Stegostoma tigrinum: one gene and its partners. The protein of the gene in region 1 purifies or fractionates together with the protein of each later gene. This does not show direct contact. Links are inferred from orthologs where the notes say so. Each region holds a gene or a part of one and is shown in the gene's direction. Other genes may lie near its edges. The genes, in order: cdc27, anapc7, anapc13 and cdh31.

What was found.
Region 2: the proteins of cdc27 (region 1) and anapc7 purify together in Homo sapiens (affinity purification with western blotting; 23 studies listed by BioGRID and IntAct, with this or other methods). This does not show direct contact. The link is inferred for Stegostoma tigrinum from reciprocal best matches to the Homo sapiens genes CDC27 and ANAPC7.
Region 3: the proteins of cdc27 (region 1) and anapc13 purify together in Homo sapiens (affinity purification with mass spectrometry; 5 studies listed by BioGRID and IntAct, counting the BioPlex papers as one, with this or other methods). This does not show direct contact. The link is inferred for Stegostoma tigrinum from reciprocal best matches to the Homo sapiens genes CDC27 and ANAPC13.
Region 4: the proteins of cdc27 (region 1) and cdh31 purify together in Homo sapiens (affinity purification with western blotting; 4 studies listed by BioGRID and IntAct, with this or other methods). This does not show direct contact. The link is inferred for Stegostoma tigrinum from reciprocal best matches to the Homo sapiens genes CDC27 and CDH1.

Annotation. Positions count from the first base shown.
Region 1 is NC_081384.1:40,773,054-40,780,800, forward strand, and holds the start of cdc27 (cell division cycle protein 27 homolog), read left to right. Parts: upstream 1-4,721; 5' UTR 4,722-4,845; coding exon 4,846-4,872; intron 4,873-7,747. UniProt on the Homo sapiens protein: Component of the anaphase promoting complex/cyclosome (APC/C), a cell cycle-regulated E3 ubiquitin ligase that controls progression through mitosis and the G1 phase of the cell cycle.
Region 2 is NC_081379.1:24,282,404-24,289,687, forward strand, and holds the start of anapc7 (anaphase-promoting complex subunit 7), read left to right. Parts: upstream 1-4,269; 5' UTR 4,270-4,365; coding exon 4,366-4,466; intron 4,467-7,284. Other genes in the region: ube2g1b (ubiquitin-conjugating enzyme E2G 1b), read right to left, coding at 3,861-3,903. UniProt on the Homo sapiens protein: Component of the anaphase promoting complex/cyclosome (APC/C), a cell cycle-regulated E3 ubiquitin ligase that controls progression through mitosis and the G1 phase of the cell cycle.
Region 3 is NC_081385.1:20,041,296-20,048,487, reverse strand, and holds the start of anapc13 (anaphase-promoting complex subunit 13), read left to right. Parts: upstream 1-4,123; 5' UTR 4,124-4,258; exon of another isoform or gene 4,259-4,267; intron 4,268-5,130; 5' UTR 5,131-5,246; intron 5,247-6,097; 5' UTR 6,098-6,208; intron 6,209-6,917; 5' UTR 6,918-6,932; coding exon 6,933-7,031; intron 7,032-7,192. Other genes in the region: thyn1 (thymocyte nuclear protein 1), read right to left, coding at 308-350. UniProt on the Homo sapiens protein: Component of the anaphase promoting complex/cyclosome (APC/C), a cell cycle-regulated E3 ubiquitin ligase that controls progression through mitosis and the G1 phase of the cell cycle.
Region 4 is NC_081369.1:40,081,809-40,089,503, forward strand, and holds the start of cdh31 (B-cadherin), read left to right. Parts: upstream 1-4,647; 5' UTR 4,648-4,741; coding exon 4,742-4,888; intron 4,889-5,165; coding exon 5,166-5,265; intron 5,266-7,695.

The DNA of each region.
Region 1 (7,747 bases):
ACCAGATTATCCTACAACAATTTTATTTGAAATCACAAGCTTTCAGAGCTGATGAAGCAGCAGCATTCCAAAAGCTTGTGATTTCAAATAAAATTGTAGGATAATCTGGTGTTGTGTGATTTCTCACTTTAAGTAAAGGCATAACTTAGACCTCGGCTGGTGTTTGTATTCAGTTATGCGTGCCACACTTTAGAAAGGAAGTGAATACATAGGGAAGAGTGCAGAAGAGATTTCAAAAAAATAGCTCCAGGGATGGTTGTCTTCAGTTTATGACAACAGATTGGAGAGATTGTGACTGTTTTCCCTGGAGAGAAAACTAAGCCGACAACCTCATTCAAAAGAACATGGAACTTGGCAACACCACAAGCCACTCACCAACCGGCCATCGAACTGCATCATTATTCCTTCAGGGTTCCTGGGTCAAAATCCTGGAAATCCCTTCCTAACAATGACACAAGGACTGGAGTGGTTCAAGAAGGCAGTTCACCACCACCTTCTTTAGGGATGAGTAACAAGTGCTGGTCCAGACAACAGCAAGCACATCCCATTAATGAAAAAATATGAAAACTTGAAAGCTCTGGGCAGAGTAAACAGGCAGGAATCGTTGCTGCTTAAAAAAAGGATCAAGATTGGATTTGATTTATTTGTCACATGTACCAAAGTACAGTGAAAAGTGTTGTTTCATGTGCTATCCAGTCAAATCATACCATTCGTAAGTACATCGGGGGGTAATAGAACATAATGCAGAATACAGTTACAGAGATGAAGAGAACGATCAACTCTAATAAACAAGATGAGAGGGTATAGGTTGAAAGTGAGAGGGGAAAGATTTAAAAAGGATCTAAGGGGCAACCTTTTCACACAGAGGGTATGCTTGTATGGAATGAGCTGTCAGAGAAAGTGGTAGAAGCTACTGCAATGATAACATTTGAAAGTCATCTTGATGGGTGTATAAATAGGAAGGGTTAGAGGGATATGAGCCAAATGCTGGCAAATATCTGGTCTGCATAGATGGGTTGGACTGAAAGGTACACATCACTATGGCGCGATAAAGCTATACGGCACTGTAACTCTAAGTCTGTTCATAAGTTAAATAACAGCAAGGAAGAAATTGTTCTTGAATCATTTGGTCTGTGTTTTCAAAGTTTTGTATCTTCTGCCTGGAAGAGGATGGAAGAGAATATAACTGGGTTCTGAGGGAGGGTCAGATGTTGCCAGACCTGCTGAGCTTTTCCAGCAACTTTGTTTTTGCTCCTGACTCACAGCATCCACAGTTCATTTGGCATTTATATAGCTGGGGTTTTTGATTGTGTTGGCTGCTTTCCTGAGGTAGCAGGAACTGTAGACAGATTCAATGGAAGGAAGGCTGGTTTTCATAGGTGACAATTTTTCACCACTTTTGGTGCAAAACAAGCATAGAATGCATTGAGCTCATCGGGGAGACAAGCATTGTTGTTACCGATTGTATTCAGCTTTGTTTTGTAGCCTATTATATCATGTAACCCTTGACACAGTAGATGTGTGTTTGTGTGGTTAGTCTGGTACTCTAGTTTAGGAGATAGCAAGAACTGAAGATGCTGGAGTCAGAGTCAATACAGTGAGGAACTCTAGGTCAGGCAGCATCAGGGAGCAGCAAAGCCGACGTTTCAGGTTGGGGCCCTTCAGGACTGGGGAGGGGGAAGGGAGCTGGGAAATAGACGGAGGGAAGTGGGGCTGGAGGAAGGTGGTAATAGGTGGATGCAGGGTAGTGGGGATTGGTCAGTGGGAAGGGTGGGGTGTATAGGTAGGAAAGACGATAGTAAAAACTGCCGATTCTGGTGTCAGAGATAACACAGTGTGGAGCTGGAAGAGCAGGAAAGTTGATGTTTCGGGTCGGGACCCTTCTTCAGAAAAAGAAGAAAGGTCCTGATCCGAAATATCAACTTTCCGATTCCTCTGATGCTGCCTGGCCTGCTGCATTCCTCTAGCTCCACACTGTGTTATATGTGAGAAAGAAGATGGACAGGTTGTGTCAGGTCAAGGAGGAGGCTTGGACACGGGATGAGGCTGGGGGTGGGGAGATTTGCAAACATTAAGATTGATAAGTCCCCAGGGCCAGACCAGATTTATCCTAGGTTGCGCCGGGAAGCCAGAAAGGAAGTTGCTAAACCACTGGCAAAGATCTTTGCTTCCTCACTCTCCATGGGAGTTGTACCAGAAGATTGGAGAGAGGCAAATGTTGTTCCTCTTTTCAAGAAAGGGAATAGGGAAATCCCTGGAAATTACAGACCAGTCAGTCATACGTCTGTGGTCAGCAAGGTTTTGGAAAGAATTCTGAGGGATAGGATTTATGATTATTTGGAAAAGCATAGCGTGATTAAAGGGAGTCAGCATGGCTTTGTGAGGGGCAGGTCATGCCTTACAAATCTTATTGAGTTCTTTGAGGAAGTCACGAGACAGGTTGACGAGGGTCGAGCAGCGGATGTGGTGTACATGGACTTCAGCAAGGCATTTGATAAGGTTCCCCACGGCAGGCTCATTCATAAAGTCAGGACGTATGGGATACAGGGTGATCTGGCTGTCTGGATTCAGAATTGGTTGGCTGACAGGAGGCAGAGAGTGGTTGCAGATGGTAAGTATTCTGCCTGGAGGTCAGTGCTGAGTGGTGTCCCACAGGGCTGTGTTCTTGGGCCTCTGCTCTTTGTAGTTTTTATAAATGACTTGGATGAGGAGGTTGAGGGGTGGGTTACTATGTTTACTGATGACACAAAGGTTGGAGGTGCCATTGATAGTATCGAGGGCTATTGCAGGCTTCAGCGAGACATTGACAGAATGCAGAGCTGGGCTGAGATATGGCAGATGGAGTTCAACCTGGATAAATGCGAAGTGATGCATTTTGGAAGGTCGAACCTTAATGTTGAATATAGGATTAAAGGCAGAATTCTAGGCAGTGTCGAGGAACAGTGGGATCTTAGTGTTCAAGTGCATAGCTCCCTCAAAGTTGCCACCCAGGTGATAAGGTTGTTAAGAAAGCATATGGTGTTTTGGCTTTCTTAACAGGGGGATCAAGTTTAAGAGCCGTGAGGTTATGCTGCAGCTCTACAAAACCCTGGTGAGACCACACTTGGAATATTGTGTCCAGTTCTGGTCGCCCTATTATAGGAAAGATGTGGAGGCTTTGGAGAGGGTGCAAAGGAGGTTTACTAGGATGCTGCCTGGACTGGAGGGCTTGTCTTATGAGAGGTTGACTGAGCTCGGACTTTTCTCTCTGGTGAGAAGGAGGAAGAGAGGTGACCTGATCAAGGTGTACAAGGTAATGAGAGGCATGGATAGAGCCAGAGACTTTTCCCCAGGGCAGGATTGACTGCCACGAGGGGTCATAGTTTTAAGGCGTTAGGAGGAAGGTATAGAGGAGACGTCAGAGGGAGGTTCTTCGCCCAGAGAGTTGTGAGCGCATGGAATACTTTGCCAGTGGTAGTCGTGGAAGCAGAGACATTAGTGACATTTAAGCGACTGCTGGACATGCACATAGATAACAGTGAATTGAGGGAAATGTAGGTTAGGTTATTTTATTTTTGGATTAGAATATTCCACGGCACAACATCATGGGCTGAAGGGCCTGTACTGTTCTGTACTTTTCTATGTTCTATTTTAAAACTGGCGAAATCTATGTTGAAGCCATTAGACTATCGGCTCCCAAGGTGGAATATGAGGTGTTGTTTCTCCAATTTGCATGTGGTGTCATTATGATACAGGAAGAAGCCCAGGTTGAAGTAATGGATTTGTTTTAGTATGTAATTGAAGAGCTTCAGGGCTGAAGAGTCATCCGTGGTTTGCAATGGGAGAGATCCTTGATTTTTTTGGAGTGAGGAGGACAACTTCCTCAGGGTGGGTATCCTGGGAAAAGGCTTCACATTTGGGTTTTCAATCACCTGGAGATGGTAAGAACTGCATATGCCGGAGTCACAGTCAATGCAGTGTGGAGTTGGAGCCTGGTATTGTCCTTTGGCATCCCTAATAGTTTTGTGAAAATTGTACCTAGATTTCCTGTGTAAGTCAGGGTCACCCAACTTGATTGCTTCAGACCTAGACTACAGTAGTGAAATGATTTGCAAACACAGCAAATGTGGGGCACGAAGAAAACTCCATCACACAAGGAATGAGGGTCTGGAATGAGGAAGAGAGTTCTGAGGTAGGGTCACTGAAGCCGAAACGTAAATCTGATTTCTTTCCGCAGATGCTACCACACTTGCCGAGCTTTTGCAACAATTTCTGTTTTTGTGCCTGGAATGCACTGTTTGGAAGTGTACAGGAGCTAGATTCAGAGCGTTCAGAGGGCGTCAGACGATTATTTAAATCGTAACGATATGCAGGCTTACGTTGAAAAAAGCAGCAAAATGGCGCAGTGATAATGCAGGCACAATGGGCCAAATGGTTTCCATCTGCACGAAAAGAATTTGCAATACACTGGCAATTCTTTAGAAATTTCCAGTTACTGCTCACAGCAGCGAAGGAAGCAAAAGCAATATTAAATCTTACGGTCCACGAGGTGAGCATCACCGTAGAAGGTGACCTGCAGAATATTACCATCAGCTGGGATGGACTCAGGACTATACGCCCTCCACTCTCACTCCTCACAACTCTCACCTAACTAATTTCCGGTCGTGAGGCGACAACTTCCGGCAGCGTTCGGCGATTCCCGACAAGGTTCGGCAATTCCCGGCATAACTCGGTGATTTCCGTCCGGTGTGTCGTCGTCCTGCTGGCCGTTAGGCTACGGTGGCTGTGACTGTTGAAATTTGAATCCTGGGCCGAGCTGTGTGTGATGAGAAGCCGCGCTACTTGGTACAGACTGGTTCTTACATCATGACAGTGCTGCAGGAACCCGTTCAGGTAAAACGGCCCTGGGGATTCCAGGCCCGCTGTCACTTACAAGTCCGACCCGTGTGTGTGAAGAGTGGGCCGCCTGCTCCTACCTTCCCGGCCTGGCGCGGTCCGGCCAGAGGAGTGGGCCTGTGTATCTTGAGGGGGTGCGAGGGGACTGATTGTCATTGAGTTTTTAAACTGGCTATGAAGTCTGTATTAGAGCCGTGGTTCTGGAATTGGAAAAGCTTTTTGTTTTCCAAACAGCGGTACTGTTTGGTGGATTTATGTTAATCCAGCATTCTGTCAGGCCTAGTTTACTCCTTGGTTTTTTAAAAAAAACGATTTTGAGGCAAATACAACAGTTAGGCATGTTTTGTTAACAGGATGATCACGCCTATTCGGTATGAAGATTGCTATCCTTTTTCTTCCCCGCAGAGCTTTAAGGCAATCCTGCAGGTTTCGAGAGAAACAGAAAATACTTAGTTTTTGGTGATGGTCCTGTTGGAATTTAACTGCTTTCTTCCTGTTTAGTAGGTGCTGAGAGTGTAATGGTGGGTGTTGGAATGTTCACTTCTGAACAGCGAAGTTTCATGAGGTAGGATTGAGATAATTGGCTCGAAACATTGTGTATATGGGGGAAGAAAATTTTCAGCTATGTAGAATGGAGTACTAATGATTACAAACTCTGCAGGTAGTAGAAACATATGAGCAAGCAACAGGGGAGATCATTCAGCTCCTTGAACTTCTTTTGTCTTTCAATAAGATCATGGATGATCTGTTTTTAACCTACTTTTTTGATAACTTTTCACCCTGTTGCTTAACAAGAAGTTTTCTGCCTTGACTTTAAAGCATTTGAAGAATCTGCTGGATGATCTTGAGAGTTCCAAAGATGCATGACCTTTAGAAAACTGTTCTAAATGGACAACACGTGACGCTTGCATGATCTGTGGTGATTAGTTTGCGTGTCATGATGAACATTGTCAAGTTGGTTGATCGAGTCTGGAATTACTGTGAGCTGACTGATTTTGCCAAGTTGCTGATTTTTCTTAGTTGCAATCAGAAAAACATCAGCTTGTGCTCGTTCAGTGAATATAAACTTTGAATGCTATGGAAAATATACATGTCAGTTTTTGGAGGAAAAAGTTCTTCAGATCAAAGGGATGAGAAAGAAAGGAGAGGGCAAGAAATAGTGATAGAATGGAAGTTGAGGCCCAAGTCTGTAACTTTGATTTGAGTGAATGTTGATTTTGATTGAATTTTGAGTATTTTAGTTTCCAACTGACATTGCTTAAAGTAGATGATCTGATCATTCATCTAGTTGTTGTTCGTGCCAACTTGCTGTGTGAAAACTGGTGACTGCTTTTCCTACAAGTTTACATTTCAAAATATTATTCAACTGGCCACAGAATTGCAGAAAATGCAATATCTTTGCAAGTGTGTACTTTGTGTCCTTTGTCCTAGCCTACAAGCAGCTTTGTATGTTTTTGAACGGTGTATTGTAACTGCTTTGCTGATCTTGAGGAGCATCCAGCAGCTTTGGGCCAATGACGAGGAGGTGGTGATTGATGGTTTCTCTGTCAGCACAGAAACTAGTCAGAGTCAGTTCCATTTCAAACAAAAGGTGTTACTCAAATTGTAGAAAGCTAATCATGGCTGATCTTAGACATTTAGGGTTTCATATGCAGAAACAATCAGAAACTAATGGACAGGTTTGAAAATAACTTTAAAAGATTAGAACAATCTATAGTCTGTATAAGACTGAAATGAAAAGGGCTAGAAGTTATGTTACACTTATATCAAGTTCTGATTTAGGCCACATCTGGAGAACTTTGATCTATTCAGGACCTGGTACTTCAAAGATGTTCAGTTAGGTGGGATTGCAGTCACCAATGCCATTCTTGCCTACTAACCTTGGATGGGGATCATCGCCTTTCAGGTAAATCTACAGCGAAGCAATGGGTGATATTCAGAAAGGAGCTGGGGAGAATACTTGGAGGGGCTAAGGGATGAATCCTGGTCAAGTGCAACTTAGCTTTGTGGCTGCTGAGTGCCATTGAGGAGCAGACTGGAGGCTGGAGCAAAACAGGACAATTGGTGGTCTTGGGCCTGGCGCATGTGCTGAGCTGCTGAAAATGGACTGTCATTTGAAACCTTTCTACTGTGGTAACTACCTTTTGTAGGTAATGCTTCTGCATTCCTTTAATCCCTTTTCTATAAGAACACCAAGATGTGTCCCTCTGTACTTCTGTATTGTAGCTCAAGTGATAATGAAGTACATTCTACAGGCCCAGCACTTAGCCTTGAGGGGTAAGGGGCAATAAGTTCTGAGAATCCTGGATGTTTAGGGCAAATCAGGACTGGATAAGGAACAAGAGTAGGCCAGGTCTAACGGGAGCAATTCAGTTGTGGCACTTGAGTACAGGAAGTTCAGGTGGCAACTTTAAAGCAATTAGAAGAGCAAAAGGGGGACATGAAAAATTATTTGCAAACAGAATTAGGGAGAATCCTAAAACATTTTATAAATATTTTAAAGGGAAGAGGTTAACTCAGGGAAGAATAGGGCCCATTAGGGACCAAGGGGGCAACCTGTGTGTGAAGCAGCAGGATATTGAAAGGATGTTGAATGAATATGTCACTTCAGTCTTTATCCTCAAGGAGAATGTCGGTATAGAATTCAGGAAAAGGCATTATTTGAGGAAGTTGCGCAATGTAACATACGAAATGATTGGAATTGAATTGAAATGAAAGGAAATTGGAGGCTCTGTCAGACTTAAAAACAGACAAATCCCTTGGCCTGGATGAATTCCATCCCAGGTTGCTGTGGGAAATTGCAGGGGCACTGGCATAAATTTTTAATTCCTCTCTGGCCTCAGGGAGGGGAGGGTGCAAGAAGACTGGAGGA
Region 2 (7,284 bases), on another chromosome or scaffold:
TGATCACATTCTCAAGACAGGACACTGAAGTCACAGTTAAATTAAACTTTATAAATATGAAATAGAAGTGCATTATCTCTGGTATGAGTACTAAGGAGGAGTGATTTTGGGATTAATGACATTGTATTTTACCTTGAGTTTTGAAATATTTACATTTATGTAAAATTCAATGGCTTATTCTATTTTATCTTCATTTCTTTTGAGTAATGAAACTTGTTTTATGTGAAATGAAACTGTAGCATTGTGTGTGTGCATTTCAGAGAAAGGCTACTTCATTAGGCAGCACAGTGGCTCGGTGGTTGGCACTGCTGCCCCAGAGCGCCAGGGACCTGGATTCAATTCCAGCCTCAGGCAACTGCCTCTGTGGAGTTTACACATTGTCTGTGTGGGTTTACTCCAGGTATTCTGGTTTCCTCCCACTGTCCAAAGATTTGCAGGTTCGGTGGATTGGCTATGCTAAATTGTCCATCGTGTCTAGGGTGGGAAATAAAGGGATGGGTGTGGGTGGAATGCTCTTCAGAAGGTCGGTGTGGACTTGATGGGCTGAATGGCCTGCTTCCACACAGTGGGGATTCTTAAAAATAAACAAAATATGATCAAGCTAGATTTCAGAGTTTGGGATCTAACTTGTCCAGTAATAAATCATTAAATCAAAATGTGACTTTTCTCTTCTACCTACCATTTCAGTAGTTTAACCACTGTAGTTCATGGTCACAGTAGGAATGGAATGAAAACACACCTCAATCTGTATTGCAGCATTTTAAGACCAAATGCTATCCATCAACTCTCACAGCTAAGAGGATAACTATATTTTAATTCTGATGTGAAGCATACCAAAGGAAAAGTTCAGGGCCTGCATGGTCCAATTAGTGTGAAAGGCAAGGCTGGCAGGTGTAGGGAACAGGATGACTACTGCATTGAGGCTCTGGTCAAGAAAGAGGAGGCATATCGAATCAGGGAATCCCTAGTGCAGAAGCAGGCCATTTGGCCCACTGACTTGACACCAATCCCCCGAAAAGCATCCCACCTAGACTCATTCCCCCCAACCTTATTCCCTGTAATCCTGCATTCCCCCATGACCAATCCACCTAACTTACCTCATCCGTGGGCACTTTAGCATGGCTGATTCACCTATCCTGCATATCTTTGGACTGTGGGAGGACATATAGAGAACATGCAAGCTCCACACACAGTTGCTCAAGGGTGTAATCAAATCCAAGTCCCTGATGCTGTGAGGCAGCAGTGCTAACCACTGAGCCACCATGCTACCTCAATTGTCAGGTATAAGCAGCTGGGATCAAGTAAATCCCTTGAGGAGTATAGGGAGTATAGGAGTACCTTAAGAATGAAATTAGAAGGGCGAAAAGGGGGCAGGAGATAATTTTAATGTCTAAGATAAAGGAGAATCCAAAGAGATTCTACAAGTATAATAACAGCAAAAGAATAACCGGGGACAGAATAGGGCCCCTTAAAGGTCATCTGTGCGTGAAGCCATGGAAGATGGGTGAAATCCTAAACAGATATTTCTTGTCAGTATTTACCATGGAGAAAGACATGGAAGCTAAGGAACTCAGGAGAATAAATACTGATGTTTTGAAAAAAAGCCCACATTGCAGAAGAAGTGGTGCTAGAGGTTCTCAAAGGACAAAGGTATCGATCCAGTGTAACACCAGAGATTGAGAGGAGCTAGGGGAGAAACTGCAGGGCCCCTAGCAGAGGTATTTGTATCATTGACAGGCATGAGTGAGGTGCCGGAAGACTGGAGGGTGGCTAACGTGCCATTATTTAAGAAAGGGTGAAGGAAAAGACAGAGAATAACAGACTAGTAAACCTAATATTAGTAGTGGGTAAGTTGTTGGAGGGGATTGAGAGACACAGGGAGTACATGCACTTGGAAAAGCAAGGACTGATCCCGGATTGTCAGCATGGCTTTGTGCAAAATCACGTGTCACAAATGTGATTGAGTTTTTTGAAGCGATGACCACGTAGATGAAGGCAGAACAGTCTACATGGACTTTTGCAAGGCCTTTGACAATCGTAGATTGGTAAGTAAGATTACACCACATGGGGTCCAGAGAGAGCTAGCCAACTGGATACAAAATTGACTTGATGGTAGGAACAGAAAGTGGTGGTACAGGGTTGTTTTTCAGACTGGAGGCCTGTGATCAGCAGTGTGTCAAATGGATCAGTTGTGTCCACAGCTGTTCATCATTTATGTAAACAATCTGGATAAGAAAATAGGGGGCATGGTTAGTAAGTTTGGCAATGACACCAGAATTGGTGGTATAGTGGACAGTCAAGAAGGTTACCCAAAAGTACAATGGGATCTTGATCAACTGGGCCAGTGAACCAAGGAACGGCAGATACAGTTTAATTCAGATAAATGTGAGGTGTTGCATTTTGGTAAGGTAAACCAGGGCAAGACTTCCACACTCAATGGCAGCACTCTGGGGAGTATTCTTGAACAGAGAGACCTAGGGGTGCAAACATGATTTCTTGAAAGTGGTAACACAGGTAGATAGATTGGTGAAGACAGTATTTGGCATGTATGCCTTCATTGGTCATGGCACTGAGTACAGGAGTTTTGACATCATGCTACAACCATACAAGACATTGGTAAGGCCACATTTGGAGTACTGCATATAATTTTGCTTGTCCTGCTGTAGAAAGGATGTTATTAAGCTGGAAATGGTGCAAAAACATTTACAAAGACATTACCAACATTAGAAGGTTTGAGTTATAAGAAGAGGTTGGAATGTTTTTCCCTGGAGCGTAGGAACCGAGGGGTGGCCTTGTAGAGGTTTATAAAATCATGAGGGACATAGATAAGGTGAATAGCCAAAGTCTTCTCCCTTGCTGGGGGGAGAAGAGAGGAACTAGAGGGTTTAAGGTGAGAGGGGGAAAATTTACATGGAGCCTGAGGGGCAACTTTTTCAGACAGGGTATATAGAACATGCATATATGAAATAAGCTGCCAGAGGAAGTGTTAGAGGTGGGTATTTAAAAGACATTTGGACAGGTACATGGCTAGGAAAGATTTAGAGGGACATGGGCCAAACGCAGGCAAATGCTCTCTGATGAAGGGTCTAGGCCCGAAACGTCAGCTTTTGTGCTCCTGAGATGCTGCTTGGCCTGCTGTGTTCATCCAGCCTCACATTTTATTATCTTGGAATCTCCAGCATCTGCAGTTCCCATTATCTCAAATGGGGTTAGTTCAGTTTTGGAAACCTGGTCGGCATGAACAAGTTGGGCCGAGGCGCCTGTTCCAGTGCTGTATGACTATGACTCCATAACATGTAACAATTCAAGTCTTTCAGGGGACTAGCAACAGGCAACTGTAATACGCAGTGAAAGCGAACAGAAGATATGCAATCTGGTCAAAAGTAAGAACACATTCATCATGTCAGCGTTCGCGGCTGTGAAGCGCCATAACGATTTTTCGATTTTACAATCGCGTCAGACTGACAACATCTGGATTTTCTATAACTTTGACGCCTGTAAAATTCGTGCGTATAAACTGCCAATCTTCCAAAAATGACTGCAGTCCCGTGGCCGCAAAATATTCCAGGAAGACACTTTGCCAGTCTGTCATAGCGATAACGCGGAGGGAAGGAGAGGGGGAAGCGGTAAAAAAAGTTACGAAACAATGACTTTTAAAAGAGTCTGACGACCGATGACATAACATAAATAACGTCCCAAATGTTCCTCTTTTAACAATTAACATATAGTAATAGCCAAAACGAAAATAGTCAGAAGGAAGTGGGGAGCTGAAAGGGGGTCGAGACTCAGCAGCAACAACAGTCCTTCCAGCCACAACTCACATCTGCAGCAAAGTTTGAGATCCCAAGGGCGTCGCGTACCTGCCAACTGTTTCCTAAGGAGCAGGGCGGACTGGTCTGTCATTACTCAAGGATCGGATCAAACCAAGTAAAATATGAAAATCAAATAATAAAGGTAAAGTAGGTGGGTCAGGTAGATAGTCAGAAGCAACCGCTCCAAGCCTTGCGGGCCCACGCTATACCAAGCCTCGGCCTGCGGCCTTACAGGCTGCTCACATCCCGGCTCCGGCATCAAAGCCGCACATGCGCCTTCCCCCTAGCAACGCAAAGCTGCCCGCCATGTGCCGCTTTACTTCAACGGCTATTTCTAATCTCGCGGTTGGCAAACAAACGTAGCTATATAATTTTAATTATTAAGTACGTTACGAAAAAAAAATACACTGCACTGCCACGGTGAATCATAGTAATTCAGGCGCAAAGTGAGCAGCTCTAGCTGCAGGGAGGTCCACAGCGCCATTTTTGATGCTGTTAGTGCTACTGCTTTAGCGTCGTCTTCACTCAGAGCACTGATCTGACAGAAGAAAAGATGAACGTTATTGACCACGTTCGGGATATGGTGGCCGCTGGCCTTTACTCCAACGTGAGATTACTTAGTAGCCTGTTACTGACTATGAGCGACAATAATCCGTAAGTGGTTGGTTTTACCTGGCGAGTTCTCTCTCAATTGATTCTATGTGTTCCGAATCCTCTCCCCCTGACATGGTATGGTTTTAAAATGCAGTTTGCTCCCGCATCTCCAAATAAGTTCCGAACCTGTTAAAAGTTTGAGGCTTAAAATGATTTTGTTCTAGTCTCAAAGTGGAAGGGTGAAAGAAAAAAGTCTTGGTTCATAGGTACCACTGGTGTAAACTGAATGGTGAATGGAGTGTGACAGTCCAAGCCTTTGATTGTATTATCATTACGTGTTCCAGCCATATAGTATTGTCACCTCCGAATGATTTAAGCTTCTGTGAGTTTTTATGACTTCAATCAGAAGGGAATGTTGGCCTTTATAAACATAGAACTAAAATACTAGGGGTAGAAGCCATGCTCCGTTAACTAAGGCCCAGGTTAGACCATTACCTGAAATAAAACAGAGTCCTGGGCATAATCCCTTAGAAAGGATTATAGACCTTGTAAAGAGTGTAATATAGATTTACTCAAATGATACTTTTATTGCAAGGAAGAAGTAAACAAAAAAGGAACTTTTCTTTTAAGGTTTCTTTTAAAGTGAACCTTGGAATTTAAAAGTTGAGGGGTGATTTGATTGAGCTTTTCAAGAGACGGTGATATTAGGACACTACTTTATATACAGTATTGTGGTCTGGAACTCTTCTACAAATGATAGTGGATGCTAGCTCAATTGATTTGTAAGTTTAAATAGATTTTTGATAGAGATTAAATAGATTCTGAAGATTCAAAAGTATAATCTATGTTGGTTTTGTGTCCCCACCAACACATTGAATTCAAACTTGCCAACTGAATATAAGTCTTGCTTGTTTGAATCTATCCCAATCTCTACATTTTTTTCCGACTGGCTTTTTGTACCTCCAACCCTTACTTTTCTTCACCTCTAGTAGCAGTGCTTTCGACCTTCTTTTAATGTTTTGGGTAAAGCCATTATTGCTAAACTTTCAATAACCTTTGCAATTCTCACCATAGCTTGATACTAGTTTCTCTCCAAACCATGTAAAGTATGATGGACTGTTTTCTTTTTTAAGGATGCTTTTTATTACAATTTGTTGATCTATTCGTGGGGATGGACTAGTTTGTATTTGGAAAAATTGACCTTGGGTAAAATGTTAAATCTAGGGTCCTATTTGCCATATCAATTTTGAAAGTTCTATTAATTTGATCAGAGAATTGGAGGAATTCTGATGCATAGTTCATGTACCTTCCGCCATCAGCAGTGCCAGAAAGCTGTTTGTCTCAATGTAACTAGGACTTTGATTCTGCAACCTGCCTATTACATTTACCTGAATTTTGGTGTTATATTTCATTGTGTTTCGCTGGGAAGTTGTTTTCGTTAGGCGGGGAGATTAGGACCCGTGGGCACAGCCTTAGAATTAGAGGGGGTCAATTTAGAACGGAAATGAGGAGACATTTCTTCAGCCAGAGAGTGGTGGGCCTGTGGAATTCATTGCCATGGAGCGCAGTGAAGGCCGGGATGTTAAATTTATTCAAGGCAGAGATTGATAAATTCTTGATCTTGCAATGAATTAAGGGCTACGGGGAGAGTGCGGGTAAGTGGAGTTGAAATGCCCATCAGCCATGATTAAATGGCAGAGTGGACTCGATGAGCCGAATGGCCTTGCTTCCACTCTGTCTTATGGTCTTATGGTCTTAAAAGATGCAACCATTCTAGTAGTAAACAGAGGGACCTCGGGGTTCATGTACATAATTTTGTGAAGTTTGTATCACCAGATGGACATGGTGGTTTAAAAAGGTGTTTGGCACGCTTGCCTTCATTGTTCAGTCCTTTTGACTAAAGGAATTGTGAATTCATGTTGATGACATTGGTGAGACCGCTTCTGGAGCACTGTGTGCAGTTCTGGTCATCCACTTATATGAAGGATATTATTAAACTGGAGAAGGTTCTGAAAAGATTTACCAGGATGTTGCTGGGTATGGAAGGTTTGAATTATAAAGATTGGATAGGCTGGGACTTTTTTCACTGGAGTATATAAGGTTGAGAGGTAACTTTATAGAAGTTTATAAAATCATGAGGGGTATAGATAGGATTAATGGTAGGTATCTTTTCCCTAGCATGGGGTATTTCAGCACTAAACGATGCATTTTTAAGGTGAAAAAGGAGAGAGATTAAAAAAGACATGAGTGGCAAATTTTTAAAGAGGGTGGTTTACGCGTGGAATGAACTTTGAGGAAGTGGTGGATGTGGCACAGTTACAGTGTTTAATAGACATTTGGATAACCAAGAAGAGGAAAGGTTTGGAGGGATAAGGGCCAGAAGAAGGCAGCTGGGACTAGTTTAATTTGGGATTATGTTCGGGTTAGACTGATTGGACTGAAGGATCTGTGTCTGTGCTGTACGACTCATGATGGTGTCTTGAAACAAACTGTTAAACCTCTGGAAAGAGAAGAGATAAAGGCAGATGTTTCTGATTACCTCCCTTAAAGCTCTTCATATACAATGACCGCATGGTATTATTGCCAAACTATTAATCCAGAAACCCAGGCAACATTCTGGGTTCGAATCATGTCGTTGCAGATTTGAATTCAATAAAAACCTGGAATTAAGAGTCTAATGATGATCATGAAACCATTGTCAATTGTTGGGAAAACTGAACTAGTTCACTAATGCCCTTTTAGAGGAGGAAACTCATCTTCAACTGGTCTGGCCTACATATGACATCAATTTGATTGACTTTTAACTGCCCTCTGGGCAACTATGAATGTGCAGTAAATGCTTGTCTAGTCAGTGGTGCCCACGTGCCATGAACAAAGA
Region 3 (7,192 bases), on another chromosome or scaffold:
TCATCTTTAAAGAGGGATAGAGATGCTCTAAACTCTGGAGCTATACTGAACCAAGGGACCAGTGGATTCAAAAAGACAGCAACATGGAAGGAACTGGCAGAAAATTATAACAAGCTCAAAAACATAAACATTCCCCATATAATTTCCTATAATTTAGCAAAAAGGGAAACTCTTAGAATGGCTCTGTTATAACCATCACAGTCGCAATACATCATTCCTTGATGCTCATCTGTTACAAAGCCATTACATTAAGTTACCATCATCACTGAACATAGAATCACTAGCAAAACATAGGAAAAAGTATTACTTGATTTTCCATTTCCACCACGTTTTTTGTTTTTTGGAGACATCTTTGATTTTTCAACCTTTTTGTATCCTATAATGAGAAAAATATATAATATTGCCAATGAAACACCGCATTGTAACAAAGCGAGCTTGACTGTCAAAATAGCATTGAGATTCCAGAACAGGAAAAACTGTTCCCCAAACATCAGCATTGAGCAAAATGTTTAAAATATTAGACAACATGGTTATATGGAAATTGTAATAAAAATACTATTAAACCACAATACTGATTTCAATCCCATTAGTCAATGTTCACCATCAATTATAGAACACATTTTGAAGGAGTTCTTGAAGTTTTTTTGTTCAGAAATCACGTTAAAACACATCATCACTTATCTGTGGGAGCATATATGACAAACATGTCACTGATTTTCTACTACAGAGATTTGAACATTTTTCCCCAAACAGCAATAAACCACTTTAACAAAAGCTATCAAAATGTTATTTTCCTAGCAAATCTATCAGGTGTTAATCTGAATCCAGGAAACATTTATTTCAAATTCATTTAAACTTCACAAAAGTCCATGTACTACAAAACACACAGGCCCAATCAACTAATGCAATAAAACCAAGATTCCAAGATGGAAAACAACTGACTATTCACAATAATGAAGATACATATATTTTATTGATCAGACTGATTGTTCAAACTTAACTGCTATCATTTCGTTTTAAAATTAATGAATCAATTAAAATGAATACATGCTAATATTAGCTGTCTGATCATCACGACAAAAATTTAGGGAGCTAAAGATGGTGGGATCAAGATCCATACATGGTAAAGCTGATTTTGGGAATCAATGGGTCTAGCAAGCGAGCTAGGGAATCTAGATGAGATGTAGGAAGTTGAGTGCATGATTATGCCAACACCTCCATAGCCCTGTTGCTGTAAACTTCTTCACAAGATCACTGCAGCCCAACATTTTAACAATAAATGTATTCAACAAAGATCTGAGCCAAAGTACAAAGGCATTCTTGACTGATGACAGAAAAATAAATGAAATCCTGAGCCCCAGAAAGTACCTGCTATTATCTAAAGTTACTTTCAGCAGAATCACAAGCACACTCTTACAGCAACCAAAGTTTGTGAAAAGGTACCCTAAAATCCAGTTGAAAACTGGAATCACTCAACTGCAAAACATTTTCATAAAAGCTTGACAATATTCAGAAGTTTTTTTCTTTTGTGGTTGAGGAAGGCAAATCAGGAGAATTTATGTCAAAGGCACAATGATTGTTCAATCTACTGTTCAACGCAATGATTTTTTCAAATAGTAATGTTACCAAGTAAGCCAAAAAATCCACTATATTCTGAGAATTGGAAAACTTCCCAATTTTTTTTTTGAAAGGCAGAAAAATGCAAATTCACTGTGCACCTTGACACCTGATGCTTCCACTAAGACTGGCTCCTCTGAGATTTGCAGCTGGCCAGCAGTAAAATAATTTCAGTTGTTCCACAAATGGTTGTATTCTGTAAAAATACTATTTCACAGCTTATCATTCCAGTTCCACAGAAACTTGGATTTGGAAATGTAGTTCTGAATGAGCTTATTGTCAAACACTTTTTCCAATCAGCAATTTGAGTTAAGTATACGATAGTTGTTTCAGGTCCAAATAAGCAGAAAATTTCAGCAAGAATTATCAAGTGTTGAACAGAGAATATAAACATGGTGCAATGACCTTGTATATTCCCAAAACATAGTTACAGCATCATACGGCATGGAAACAGATTCTTTGGTCCAACCAGTCCATACAGATCATATTCCCAATCTAAACTAGTCCGAGTCGCCCATGTCCTTGGCCAACATCCCTTCAAATCTATCCTATTCACAAACTTATCCAAACGACTTTTAAACGTTGTAACTATACCTGCTTCCACCACTCTCTGGCAGTTCAGTCCACACACAAACAACTCTGTGTAAAAGAGCTACCCTTCATGTCCTTTTTGAATTTTTAATCTCACCTTAAAAATATGTCCCCTAGTTTTGAACTCCCCCACCCTCAGGAAATGACCCTTGTCACCCACCTTATCTATGACCCTCATTATTCCATAGATGTCAATGAAGTCACCCTTCAACCTCCTACTCACCAGTGAAAAAAGTCCCAGTCTTGCCAATCTATTTTTAGATCTCAAACCCTCTATTCCCAGCAACACCCTGGTAAATCCCCTTGGATAGATTGATGTCGACACCAATCACAAGATTCCAGTGTGCCAAACACAAAACTAAAGACAACTGTGGGATTACTGTAATAAAGAAAACGTAATCATTCGAATTCTTCAGACATGTGATCGACTGGTATTACATCAGACTACAGATCAATTTCATTTCAAAACATGACATTTCTACGCTTCAGTTTTCTATTCAAAGTTAGCAAATGTAAACTAATTCAGTGGATTGCCATTGGGAACATACAAAGTCATGCTGTTCATATCCTTTAATCAGCACTTTGTGCCATTCTCAATTTGTAAAAGGTGCTGTTAAGTGGAAATCTGTCCTTTGTTGCTTGAATTCTAAGTCTTTCCAAGTCGCCTTGACGAAAACGTTCAGCCAGTCCTTGTTTGTTAAGATTACTACTTTTAAAAAAAATCAAAAATGTTAATACCAAAAGAACTGGAATTTAACAATCTGGAGTTTCACAATCTGGAACTGAAGGTTAGTGTCAGGAATTACCACTGGTGAACCAGATGGATTTTTAAGACAGTAAGACCATTATACGCAGGAGCAGAAGTAGGCCATTCGGCCCTCAAGTCTGCTCCACCACTCAATGGGATCGCAGCTTGTCTGATGTTCCTTAACTCCATTTTCCTCGATTCCCTTGCTGATTAAAAATCCGTCTACCAAAGTTTCTGACGAAAGGACATATGCCGCCCTCACCCTCAAAAATCTGGTAGACTCGTAACTGCCCTCTGAAATACCATTCAAGTTTTTTTTAAAAAGGCAAAGGTGATCAACAAATGCTGGCCATGCCCCTGGTGCCCACATTTTACAGAAACATAAAACACAGGAAAGGTCATTCAGCCAACCAAGTCTGTCCGACCAGAACTACACTAAATCTACTCCAGCCACACTTCCCAGCTCTACACTCTTCAATATTACAATTCAAATGTTCATTTCACAGGGATATTTCACTTTAACTGTGCTGTTTGAAGTCTGTGAATGCTGCCGTCCCCTACCCCGCTGCAATCCACTCACCGACCCTGGGCCTCCCGCCTCCGTCACTAGGCAACCGCTTAAAGGGAAAGGGCCACCCGACTTAAAGGGGATGGCTCAGGCCTTTCCGTTATTTGTCGGCTCAGGAAAGAAAACGACGAAAACAAACCTCACGGCTGAGGAGGCGAGCATGGAGTTTGTCAGTGAGAGGGGGGGCGAGACAGGCTGGAAAACTGAACAGGCACAAAATAAAACTGAAAGGAAAGTGCTGTTCACTCGGAAACGGCCGCAACAACCTCGCGGCGCGGAGAGAAGCAAAATCACTGCCCGGAGCCTTTTTCGGAAGAAGGACCCCGACCCGAAATGTCAACTTTCCTGCTCCTCTGACGCCGCCTAGCCTGTTGTGCTTCTCCAGCTCCACACTCTGTTATCGCCTGAAAGTCTGTGAGCTTCCATCGGAAATCAAACACTTCACTCCAATTATTTACTGATTGTGGCCGGACCGTTCATCTGGGGGGACCGAGAGGCAGGGAGAGGCCGGACCATTCATCGGGGGGGACCGGGAGGCAGGGAGAGGGCGGACCGTTCATCGGGGGGGACCGGGAGGAAGGGAGAGGCCGGACCGTTCATCGTGGGGGACCGGGAGGCAGGGAGAGGCCGGACCGTTCATCGTGGGGGACCGGGAGGCAGGGAGAGGCCGGACCGTTCATCGGGGGGGACCGGGAGGCAGGGAGAGGCCGGACCGTTCATCGGGATTGTTGGGGGTGAGGGAGAGTCCCGGACGGTATATCGGCGGGAGGGGGGCGGGGCGAGGGGGAGACGGGGGCGGGGCGAGGGGGAGACGGGGGGCGGGGAGACGGGGGGCGGGGCGAGGGTGAGACGGGGGGCGGGGTGAGGGGGGCGGGGCGAGGGTGAGACGGGGGGCGGGGCGAGGGGGGCGGGGCGAGGGTGAGACGGGGGGCGGGGCGAGGGTGAGACGGGGGCGGGGCGGGGCGAGGAGGGGGGGGCGGGGGGAGGGGGAGACGGGGGGCGGGGGCTGTTGGGGGGGCGTACGGGCGGGGGGATGGGGTGTGGGCAGGGGGATGCGGGCGGGGTGAGTGTGGGGGTGGGGTGGGACGAAGAGTGGGGGTTGGAGCAGAAGGGGCACGACGGCGCGGAGGGGAGGGTAGTGGTGGGAGGGGTGGGGTGTGGAGGGATGGGGCAGGGCGTGGCGGGGGTTGGGGAGGGAGGAGGGGCAGGGCGGTGGGGAGGGTAGGGACGGGCAGAAGGAGTGGGACGGACGTGGCGGGGGTGAGGCGGGAATGAACGGTGGGGAGGGGCGGAGCAGGACAGGGTGGGAGGGCAGGTCGGAACAGGGTGGTGGGGCGGGACAGGTTGGGAGGGTCGGGGTGGGACGGTTGGGGGGGGGGGCAGCGCCGGTGGGGGGAGGGACGGGACGGGGTCTGTGAAGAGAGAAACAGAGTTAATGTTTCTATCCCGATGTTCCTTCCTCAGAACGGCACACAGCTGGGTTCATTTACTTGTTTTAACCCAATGGATGTGTGAGGTGGCACGTTTGAAGTTTCAAGCGGAGTCAGGAGATCAGAGCAAAGACATACAGACTTACATTTCTATAACATGTTTAATGTCCATACAGATCCTCAGCCAATGAAGAAATTCTGAAGTCGCCATTGATGTACTGTATACACAGGAAGCACCCACAAACAGTATATGTGCGAGTGACCAGATTTTTATTAACCCAAGCGACCTGAGGTATTTGATTAAATGCTTGGCATGTAGGATAACAAAGCCTAATGGAAACCGAAAAGGTTGACTTAGTACAGTTCATGCTGAATCTGTTGAGAAGATTGTGCTAGTCTTTTGAGAAGGACTTCTTAGGGAAGATCAACAAATACTAGCTTTGGTGATGTCCAAATGTGATGAAAGTAAAAATTCATCCACGATTAAGGAATTGAGCTATGAGAAGATTTGGTATAATTATGTTATCTGAAAATGAAATTGAAAGATTTTACTCCCAAGATGTACAATGTTAAATGGAGAAACTTCTTGGGGAAAATTGAAACAAAGCAACATAATCTTCAAGTCCAGCTTAAATGAATATGTTGCAAAGGCCAAAGATGCAAAATCATTTGAAGGAAACACTTAGAAAACACTTAGAAAAATCAAGGGATATCAACAAAGTGCTGAAGAAACTTGGGTTTGGGAGCATCTGGAGAGAGGAAAACAGTTAATATTGTTCTGAAGGGAATGTAGGTCTTAAAGCTTAAACTCTGTTTTTCTCTCTGTAAACGGAGAGGCGCTAGTAAAATAATATAGACTCGATGGGCTGTTTAGCTTAGATTTTGTCTGGTAATGTATCTGCCACATATTGTTAATTGAATTAGCTGTCAGCACGTCCTAACTATCCCATTGAGCAAACTGATTTTCAGTATGTACGTCACAATTTTTTAAAAGGCAAATTACAACAGCAAATTTTATGTCAGTCAATCCAAACAAAATTCTTGCATTCATTTAGTAGTCTTCACAACCTCATGATTTTACAACTTGTTTCGCAGCCAGAAGTTTTGCTGCATATTGATGTAATTATTTTTATTCTTTTGTAGGATGTGGAATTTGCTTAGGTCTATATTTATTGCCCATTCCTAACTACTTAGAAAGCAGTTAAGAATCAACCGCATTGCTGTTCATCTGGAGTCATATCTAGGACAGATCAGGTAAGGATATAGATTTCCTTCCTTAAAGGACCGCAGTGAACCCGGTGAGTTATTGAGTGGTGGTTATCCACTTACTGTTACGGTAGCTCTCTATTCCAGATTTTAATTGAATTCAGATTTCACTGCCATAGTGACGTCAACATGTACGTCCCCAGAATATTGTCGTGTGATATTCGTTTTGGGTTCTGAATTCCTATTTCATTGACAACACTACGAGGCCACCACCTCCCTATTTGTACAGAGCAAGCTCCCACAAGTAGCATCACTGTTACATCTAGATAATATTTTTTGTGATGAGTTTGAAAATTTAGATATTGAGCGACATGCCCAGATCACACCCCTGCTGCATTTGCAGATAGGGTCAGGGGATCCTTTACATCCATCTGAAAAAATAAATGCAATATCGGTTTAATATCTTATCCAAATGACAGCACTTCTCACAGTGCAACTGACTGCGGTGTCATGAAAGGTTTTGTGCTCAAGACCTTTAGTGGAACATTAACATACAATCTTTTAATTTGGAGATGAAAGTGTAACTAACTGAACCAGGGCTGATAAGAGTATTGGGTGGGACAGACTTGCTTCCTTTGAGTAAAAAGCTAAGGAGCTAGAAGTTTCAAGATGAGCCAGGGTGAAAGTGTAATAAATGCAGGCACGTATGCTCTATGTTTACTAAATCCTGTATTTTCTGTTTTGTGTTTGCGTACAGTGTCAACCAAGACACATGGACAGTGAAGTACAAAGAGATGGCAGAATTCTGGATCTTATTGATGATGCATGGCGTGAGGACAAACTGCCATATGAAGATGTGGAAATACCACTAGTACGTACAGAATTTATATTTGTATAGTATCTTAAAATAATATTAATTGTATGAAGGTGCATTGTTATTAGTTTTGGAATGAAAAAGATAAAATGTGATTGGAATGAAAAACAGTTTAAAAAGTGACAGCAGTCCCCACATATGTGTGGCAAAATGAAAAC
Region 4 (7,695 bases), on another chromosome or scaffold:
GAGTTAGCTACATTGGCAGGCAGGGCGTTCCACACCCTTACCACTCTCTGAGTAAAGAACCTGCCTCTGACATCTGTCTTAAATCTTTCACCCCTCAGTTTGTAGCTATGCCCCCTCGTATAAGCTGAAGTCATCATCCTCGGAAAAAGACTCTCACTGTCCACCCTATCTAATCCTCCGTTGGTCTTACATAAGTAAACTCTGTGGCTAATTAAGATTTGGATTTTTTTGTTTATTCATATAGGCATCACTGCCTAGGCCAGAATTTATTGCCCATTCCTAATTGCCCAGACAGCAGTTAAGAGTCAATCACATTACTGTAGGCCAGACCAGGTAAGAATGGCAGATGTCCTTCCCTAAAGCACATTTGTGATCCATGTTTTTTTTGTGACGACTAAAGGACAGTGGTTATACTGTCACCATTAATGATAGCTTTTTATTCTAGGATTTTATTGAATTACAATGTCATCATCTGCCAGAATACTGAATTCAAGTACTAGATTACTATCGCACTGACATCACCACTACACCATAATTGTGTACATTCAAGCACCGGGAAGATGTTGTTTGAGGCACATCTTAAAGTCTAATAAATGGCAAGATTTTTGTTTCATCTCAAGATTCTACAGCTTGACATGATTAATAAGAAAAAACATTCTAAAAATGGTGCAGTAAATTATTTTAGACTGATGATTAATTATTGGGATGGATATCTGTTAAGGATTGCCTGTGAATAGTGACAAGTATCTGCACAAACATCAGAATTATGACTGATTATACTAGATTGTTTCAGTGATTGACAAGAAATTTGGCTTACATCTATGTAAAACCTGACCTCTTCTTCCAAGCATTCAAAAGTATTCCAGTCAGTGATTACACTAATCATTTTATGAGGTACAAAGCAATTTGGTTTTGGTAGTAACAGTTAAGAGACAAATATTGGACAACTTCAGCTTTATATAGTTGTATATGATCTATGCAGCCTTGCTGGAGCAGGGAGGACACAATTTTATTTATCATGTAAATGGCACACCCTTGAAAATACAGCACCTGCCAATTCTTGACTTGAAGACTATTTTATAATACTATATGTAATTTTTTTACTAGGTCATATGCTACATGTACAGGCATGCAAGTAATAGGGTACTGTTGAGTCAGCCTGCAGATAGAAACCAATTCTCTAACAAGAACACAAAGCACAAAGTGTTGGAAAAGAGCCTAATGTGGCACCAACAACTTCAAAGTAAGCTGATATATTGCACAATAATCTGTGTTGCAAACTGTGAAATTCCTTTCACAGGACTGCAGCAAGAGCTCATGAGATCAGGTGTTAGTACACTGGCGCAGGGGAGAGGAATATTCCTACCCCATCCCATTACAGCAACAATTTTCATAAGAAAATGATCAAATTCAATGTTAATGTTTGCTTTGGTAAAGGGAATTCAGAATTTTTTTAATCTTAGGCATTCCTTAAGATCCCAAGCCAGCTACAGAATTAAATTTTGCACAGAGATGTGGTAAGCTGGAAAGGCTTTCTAAGTACTGACACATCGGTGTTAGAATCAAAACAGGCTCCCAACCCCACATACCAGGATCAATATGTATTAAGACTGACTTTTTTGCTCCCCAATCCAGGCATCTGCCAATCCTAAACAGTGAGTGTACAAATATACCCTACAAGCTAATAACTATGTTTATTCTGTCCCAATTTCAGAATATCTAGGGTAAAATTGAAAAACTGCAAATAGAAAGTGGCAGGGACTAGGAAGTGTACACACACAGGCATGTTCAATTTCCTCCTTCATCAGCAATGTTGGTGATTTAGGCAGTGCAAAGATTCTTGCATTCGCAACAGGCAAGTGTCACTGTGTGAGCAACTCAGTTGAAGCTTTGGGTAAAGATAGATAAAAATGCCCTGTTGATTAACTTTCCAATCAGCATGGCTACAAAAGCATCATTTCTCTTTCCATTTCTGGATTAGATGCAGCGCAGCAACTGTTTCAGGATTACATTTCACACCAAAAGCCACATCCTCACAGACACATTAGTTGATCACAGAAACTTTAACTGCATCGTTCTTAAATAGTTTAGAGAATGTTTCCTCTGGTACATAGACTCCATGTGGTGACATCCAAATATATTGATAAAGATTTCCTCTGTTTGCTATTTCTAACAACGTTGTAAACACATTGAAAAATATTTTTATTGATTCACTCCACACCGTAAACAGAGCAAGGCCTGAAAGCTTATTTGTACAGTTCTCATTTTTCAGCCACGCCTGACATTGGTCTTCCTCATTAGTATATAAGTGCTCAATGTTTTGTGGCCTTCCCACTGGTTGCTTACATTGCATGCAGTCAATGCTGCATCTGGAACACGCCTCAATTGAGGAATGATCCAATTTCTCAGCCAAAACCCTCATAAATGTGTGATTGACCACAAGAACTCGAACTACATCATCCTTGTTTGGCTGCGTGCTCACCAATCCCAACACTTCCTGCTGAAAATCTTGCTGACATAACTAATAGTCCTCTGGGCAAGGTACCAACAAGATATGTCTGTGTTGATTCTAATGCATTACCCCTCTTTATTCCCTTCGATCTCTGCAAAGTCCCAGTCCTCTTCCACTGCCTCACTGCCATACCACCAGCCTCCAGCTGCAGCCAGTACATTGTTTCACTCTACTTAACAGGATATATCCTTTTGAAGCCATTGTCCAGTGATTCCCAGAGTGGAAGTAATCTAAGTAGATGTACTCTGAGGTCAATTTGTGACTACTTGTTTGTGATTTTACATATAAATGAATTTGGGAGCATTTTCTGTCAATTGCAACCTACAAATCCAGGTCTACGCCCTTTAGGGAGATAACTCTACTGCAGATTTAGCAGATGTGGGAGGACATCACCACCTTCAAATTCCCTTCAAAACACATACTCTCTTGACTTGGAAATGTATTGCTGTTGCTTCACTGTCCCTGGGTCATTACCATGGAACTCCCACCCTAACAGTATAGGTGGTTTACTTTGATTACACAGACTGCAGCAGTTCAATAAAGGAAGAAATTATTTACATTTACTGCCTTTTAAATTTTAGCTATGATGAAATGTCACAGATATCTACTAAATAGAGTCATACAGCATGGAAATAGACCCTTTCGTCCAACTCGTCTATGCCTACCAGATATCCTGAATTTATCTAGGTGTGGAGCTGGAGGAACATGGCAGCCCAGGCAGCATCAGAGAAGCAGGAAAGCTTCTCTGATGCTGCGTGGCCTGCTGTGTTCCTCCAGCTCCACACCTTGTTACCTCAGACTCCAGCATCAGCAGTTCCTACTATTCCTGAATTTATCTAATCCCATTTGACAGCTTTTGGCCCGTATCTCTCTTAACCCTTCCTATTCATATACCCACGCAGAAGCCTTTTAAATGTTGTCATTGTAACAGCCTCCATCACTTCCTCTGGCAGCTCATTCCATGCACACACCACCCTCTGGGTGAAAATGTTGCCCCGTAGGTCCCTTTTAAATCTTTCTCCTCACATAAAACCTATGCCCTCCAGTTTTGGACTCCTCCACCCTGGGGAAATGACCTTGTCTATTCACTATATCTATGCCTCCTCATCATTTTACAAACTTCTATAAGCCTCTGATGCTCCAGGGAAAATAGCCCCAGTCCATTTAGCCTCTCCCTATTGCTCAAACACTCCAACCCTGGCAGCATCTTTGTAAATCTTTACTGAACACTTAAAACTTTAACAACATCGAATGCAGTATTCCAAAAGAGCCCCAACCAACGTTCTGCACATCAGTATCATGACCTCCCAACTCCTTTACTCAAAGCAACAAAGGCAAGCAGGCTAAATCCCGTCTTCACTATCCTATGTACCTGCGGACTCTACTGTCAAGCAGCAAGTGTTTATATACAGACACAATAGTTGCATGATGATGTCCTGGTTGGAAAAAAAAACACTGAATAAGGTTTTCTGTATTTGAAACAACGGCATGTATTTCTAAAGCACGTTTAACAGTTGTAAGGAGTGTCCTGAAAGGGGTACAAAAGGACGGGGAGATTTCGAGATTAACTTCTAATGAAGGAGAATCTGCTAAAGTTGACTCAATTAACATCGGGGCTGCTGATCCACGCCAGAAACAAGGGAGGGTTGATGAAAGACTAAATTTCGCTAGACTGCCCTCCTCTCTAGAAATTCTGGTTTACAGAGAAATGACTCCTATACATTTCATCATCTAGAATGGCTTCACGATAGACAATATCTGAACTTGAATTCTCTCCAAATATGCAGAACAGTTGCCTTAAGTTAGCACTGTCTACTCCAGTCACCCTTGTTTGGAATGTAACCTCCTTTTTCACCGATCTGTGCTGGGGTCAAACTCGACATTAATGCAGGCGCTGCCCAGATCCACAGTACACAAATGGGATTGATGCCAACTTTCCAAGAGGCCGCTGTCCAGATAGTTTACACTTAGCAAGTTATTTTGATGCCCGCTCCTTCCAGTAAACGGCATCATTTCCGCCACCTTCCCCTGAAACTGGGAGTGGGGGAATTTATTACAACAGTTTCAATCACTGGGAGCTGAGAGCGTCGGTGCGTCGCCGCCGCCTTTACCTGACGCCAGCTTTACCCAAAATTGGATACAAGCATCCGGGCGTCAGCCAATGAGAGAGAAACTCACCTGGAGACGTCACCTGGATTGGCAGCGATTGGCTTCCAGTTTTGGAGAAGGATGGTGATCGGAGAGAAGGGGAAAGTCAGTGAGAACGAGGAGGTGGAATTCAGAGGCAACAGGCACAACGCGTTTTGGAAACTGACTCGTAACCCAATGGGGAGTTACAGGCTGTCGTTTCTGGGGATAGTCACCCTCCTGCTCCAGGTGAGTGAGTTCTACTTCTCACGAGGTTAGACCGTGTACATCTGAATTCTGGCGAAGGGAGGGGGGCAAGACCTCCGGTTTGTTACACGGTTCCCCTAGCCCTGCACTCCATATCTTCAGTTTCGTATCAATTTCATTATCGGCTGAGCTTTCATCCGAGCGAGTGCGAATTATCCCCGTTGCCGCGGCGGGGGACCCGGTGTGAGCTGTAAACGGAGGGGAAGGATGGATTTGTGTTTGGTACTTTTATTTGATGTTAACCTGTCCGTATCCACAGGTTTGGAGCGGCGAGGCATCGACTGGATGTAAAGGGTTCGAGCCAAAGAGCTACACTTTCAGGGAGCCGTCAGTGGAGGTGGGACAAGTTCTGGGCAGAGGTAAGAGTTCAGGAAAGTACGTGAGGATCGGCGGGGATTTCACACGGAGAAATGCGGAAGCGAGACTGAGAACCTTGGGGGTGGGAACACAGAAAAGGGATCGAGAATCCTTTCCGGATCCCTAAGAAAAAGGGATCCAGTGAGAAGGAATTGAATTTTTTTTAAAAGTGCCCTCGGTTGTAGAAGAATCCGAGATCCCGTTTCTTTTCGCAACCCCCCTCTCTTTTACCGGAGGAATTGGTGATAAATACATTCACAGAGAATATCTGCTGCCTGTGTTGAGGGCGGTGGCTGGACTTTCGATTCTGCTGGTCTCGCCTTTTGTTCAACTTCTTGTTCAATCTTCAACTATAGCCGTGCTACCTTTTATATTCCCAAATTCTCCAATATTGGCAAGGAAATTTCAGGTTTTAACATGAGTGGGGACCCTGTTTGTTTCCTAGTGGACTGTTTGTGTTTCGAGTGCAGTGAAAGGAAGGAGAGCTCGGATGAGAGAGTTCTATCAGCGTTTCTACACTAACAACCCCCTGATCTAATCTAAAGAGGTCTCGAGTGTGTGTCATAGATATTATTTTAATTTCTCTACAAAATTTTAACTAATCATGGTGCACAATGCTGTGGTCAGTGAATTACTGTTACTAACATCTGCTCAGTACAGCTAAGTCGGAGAAACACGTTGTCAAAATCACCCTAAGGCTTGTACAAAATTAATTTAATTTTCTGGGAAAAGCCCCGGAACACTCTTTTAGCTTCCAAACAGCCCCGATCAGATTATAATGCGTTTTACCAACTAGGTGATCCCTTTTAAAGCACTGAATTATCTCTTTTACGTTTTAACCAGCTGTCCTATTTTTCATTCTATAAATTCCTGCTAACTTCATTCAGGGGAAATTGGTAATTGATTCCATTGTTTGCTCCTTATTTTCTCTACTTGTTGAAATCCCCTGTGTGATGACTTGATTTAATTTTACAAAATGGATGCCACCCAAGTTTCACAAAACAAAGTCCAGCTCACCTGAAAATGTCTTCTGCCTGTCGGAGAATAGGGCCACTAAAACAAATACTTTCTATCAAAGGTTTTCTGTCCCTCGACTGAAATTAATTGGTCAGTCTTTGGAGAAACTGAACTTTGAAGTCCTTGGATTTCAGTTGAGATTTGTTCTCCAAAGTTTCTGAGGTCCCTTTGGGGAACGTACTTATGGCTTTCATTGTGGAAACAGCCAAGACATTTTCTTAAAAACTCGTGTGGGTGGCCTGTCAGAAATTACTGCTGTCTCATCAACACATTTTAATTTGGTGTCACATTGCACTCTGACTTATTTATAGAAGTCAAATTGACAACAAAAAAACTTTTTCCAGTTATTCAATCAAGTGCTACATTCCAATGTCAATGAACGAGATTTGCTGTCTGTACACAGTTTATGCGCATGCCCTCTCTGTATTATCAGGATAAATATAAATGACTCAAATATTATTCCAAACCAAGACTACAAAGCATGCAGATGAAGTGGTTTATTGTGAAGAGGGATTTGTGTGCGTTGAAGAGATTCGTTATTATGCATGAATTGGGTAGTCAAAATGCTGTAAAGACTTTCTGAACACATGACAAAATAATGTGTCCAATCTTGCGTGTCTGTTTTCTTGCCAATTGTTTTACTATGTTTGTCTCTAGTCAATTTAAATTCTCGTGATTTTTGTTTATGTTCGTCATTTCACGGTGATCAGGACAACAAAAGCGTGAAGAGTTGTATAACAAGGAAAATGGTTCCTTTTCATTTACTGCAACTGGTATTTTGGCTTTTAGAGATGATAGGAACTGCAGATGCTGGAGAATCTGAGATAACAAGATGAGAGGCTGGATGTACACAGCAGGCCAAGCAGCATCTCAGGAGCAGGAAAGCTGACATTGTGGGCCTAAACACGAATAAGACTAATAATCTCCTTCATTCTTTTGAAATAAAAAAAACGATTTTTCTGATGAGGGGTCTAGGCCCAAAACGTCAGCATTCCTGCTCAGCCTCCTGTGTTCATCCAGCTCCACACGTTGTTATCTTGGCTTTTAGAGATGAATGTACTTTTGTTTCAATGTTTTTTGATGTAATGTATGATAGCTCATATACTGTGGGAAATGACAAGTCTTGCCACTTCATTTCACTCTGTATGCCTTTATCATGTAAGCCAAAACTTGAGTTATAGTGGAAATAGTCAGTGGTGTGTCTCCAAATGCATGCTTATGATGCTTGAGTGTCTGATATTGAGCTACGAGCTGATGCTTTTTCCTAGAAATCCTTTCTACCCTGTAATAATTTAAATTTAATTTTAAAATTAATTTAAAACTTAATACATTTGATTAATTTTGATACATCTTTTTTTGGGCAGGCTGTTGTTTTGTTAATTGCCTCTGTTTTCAACCTCTTGTATTTGTCATTA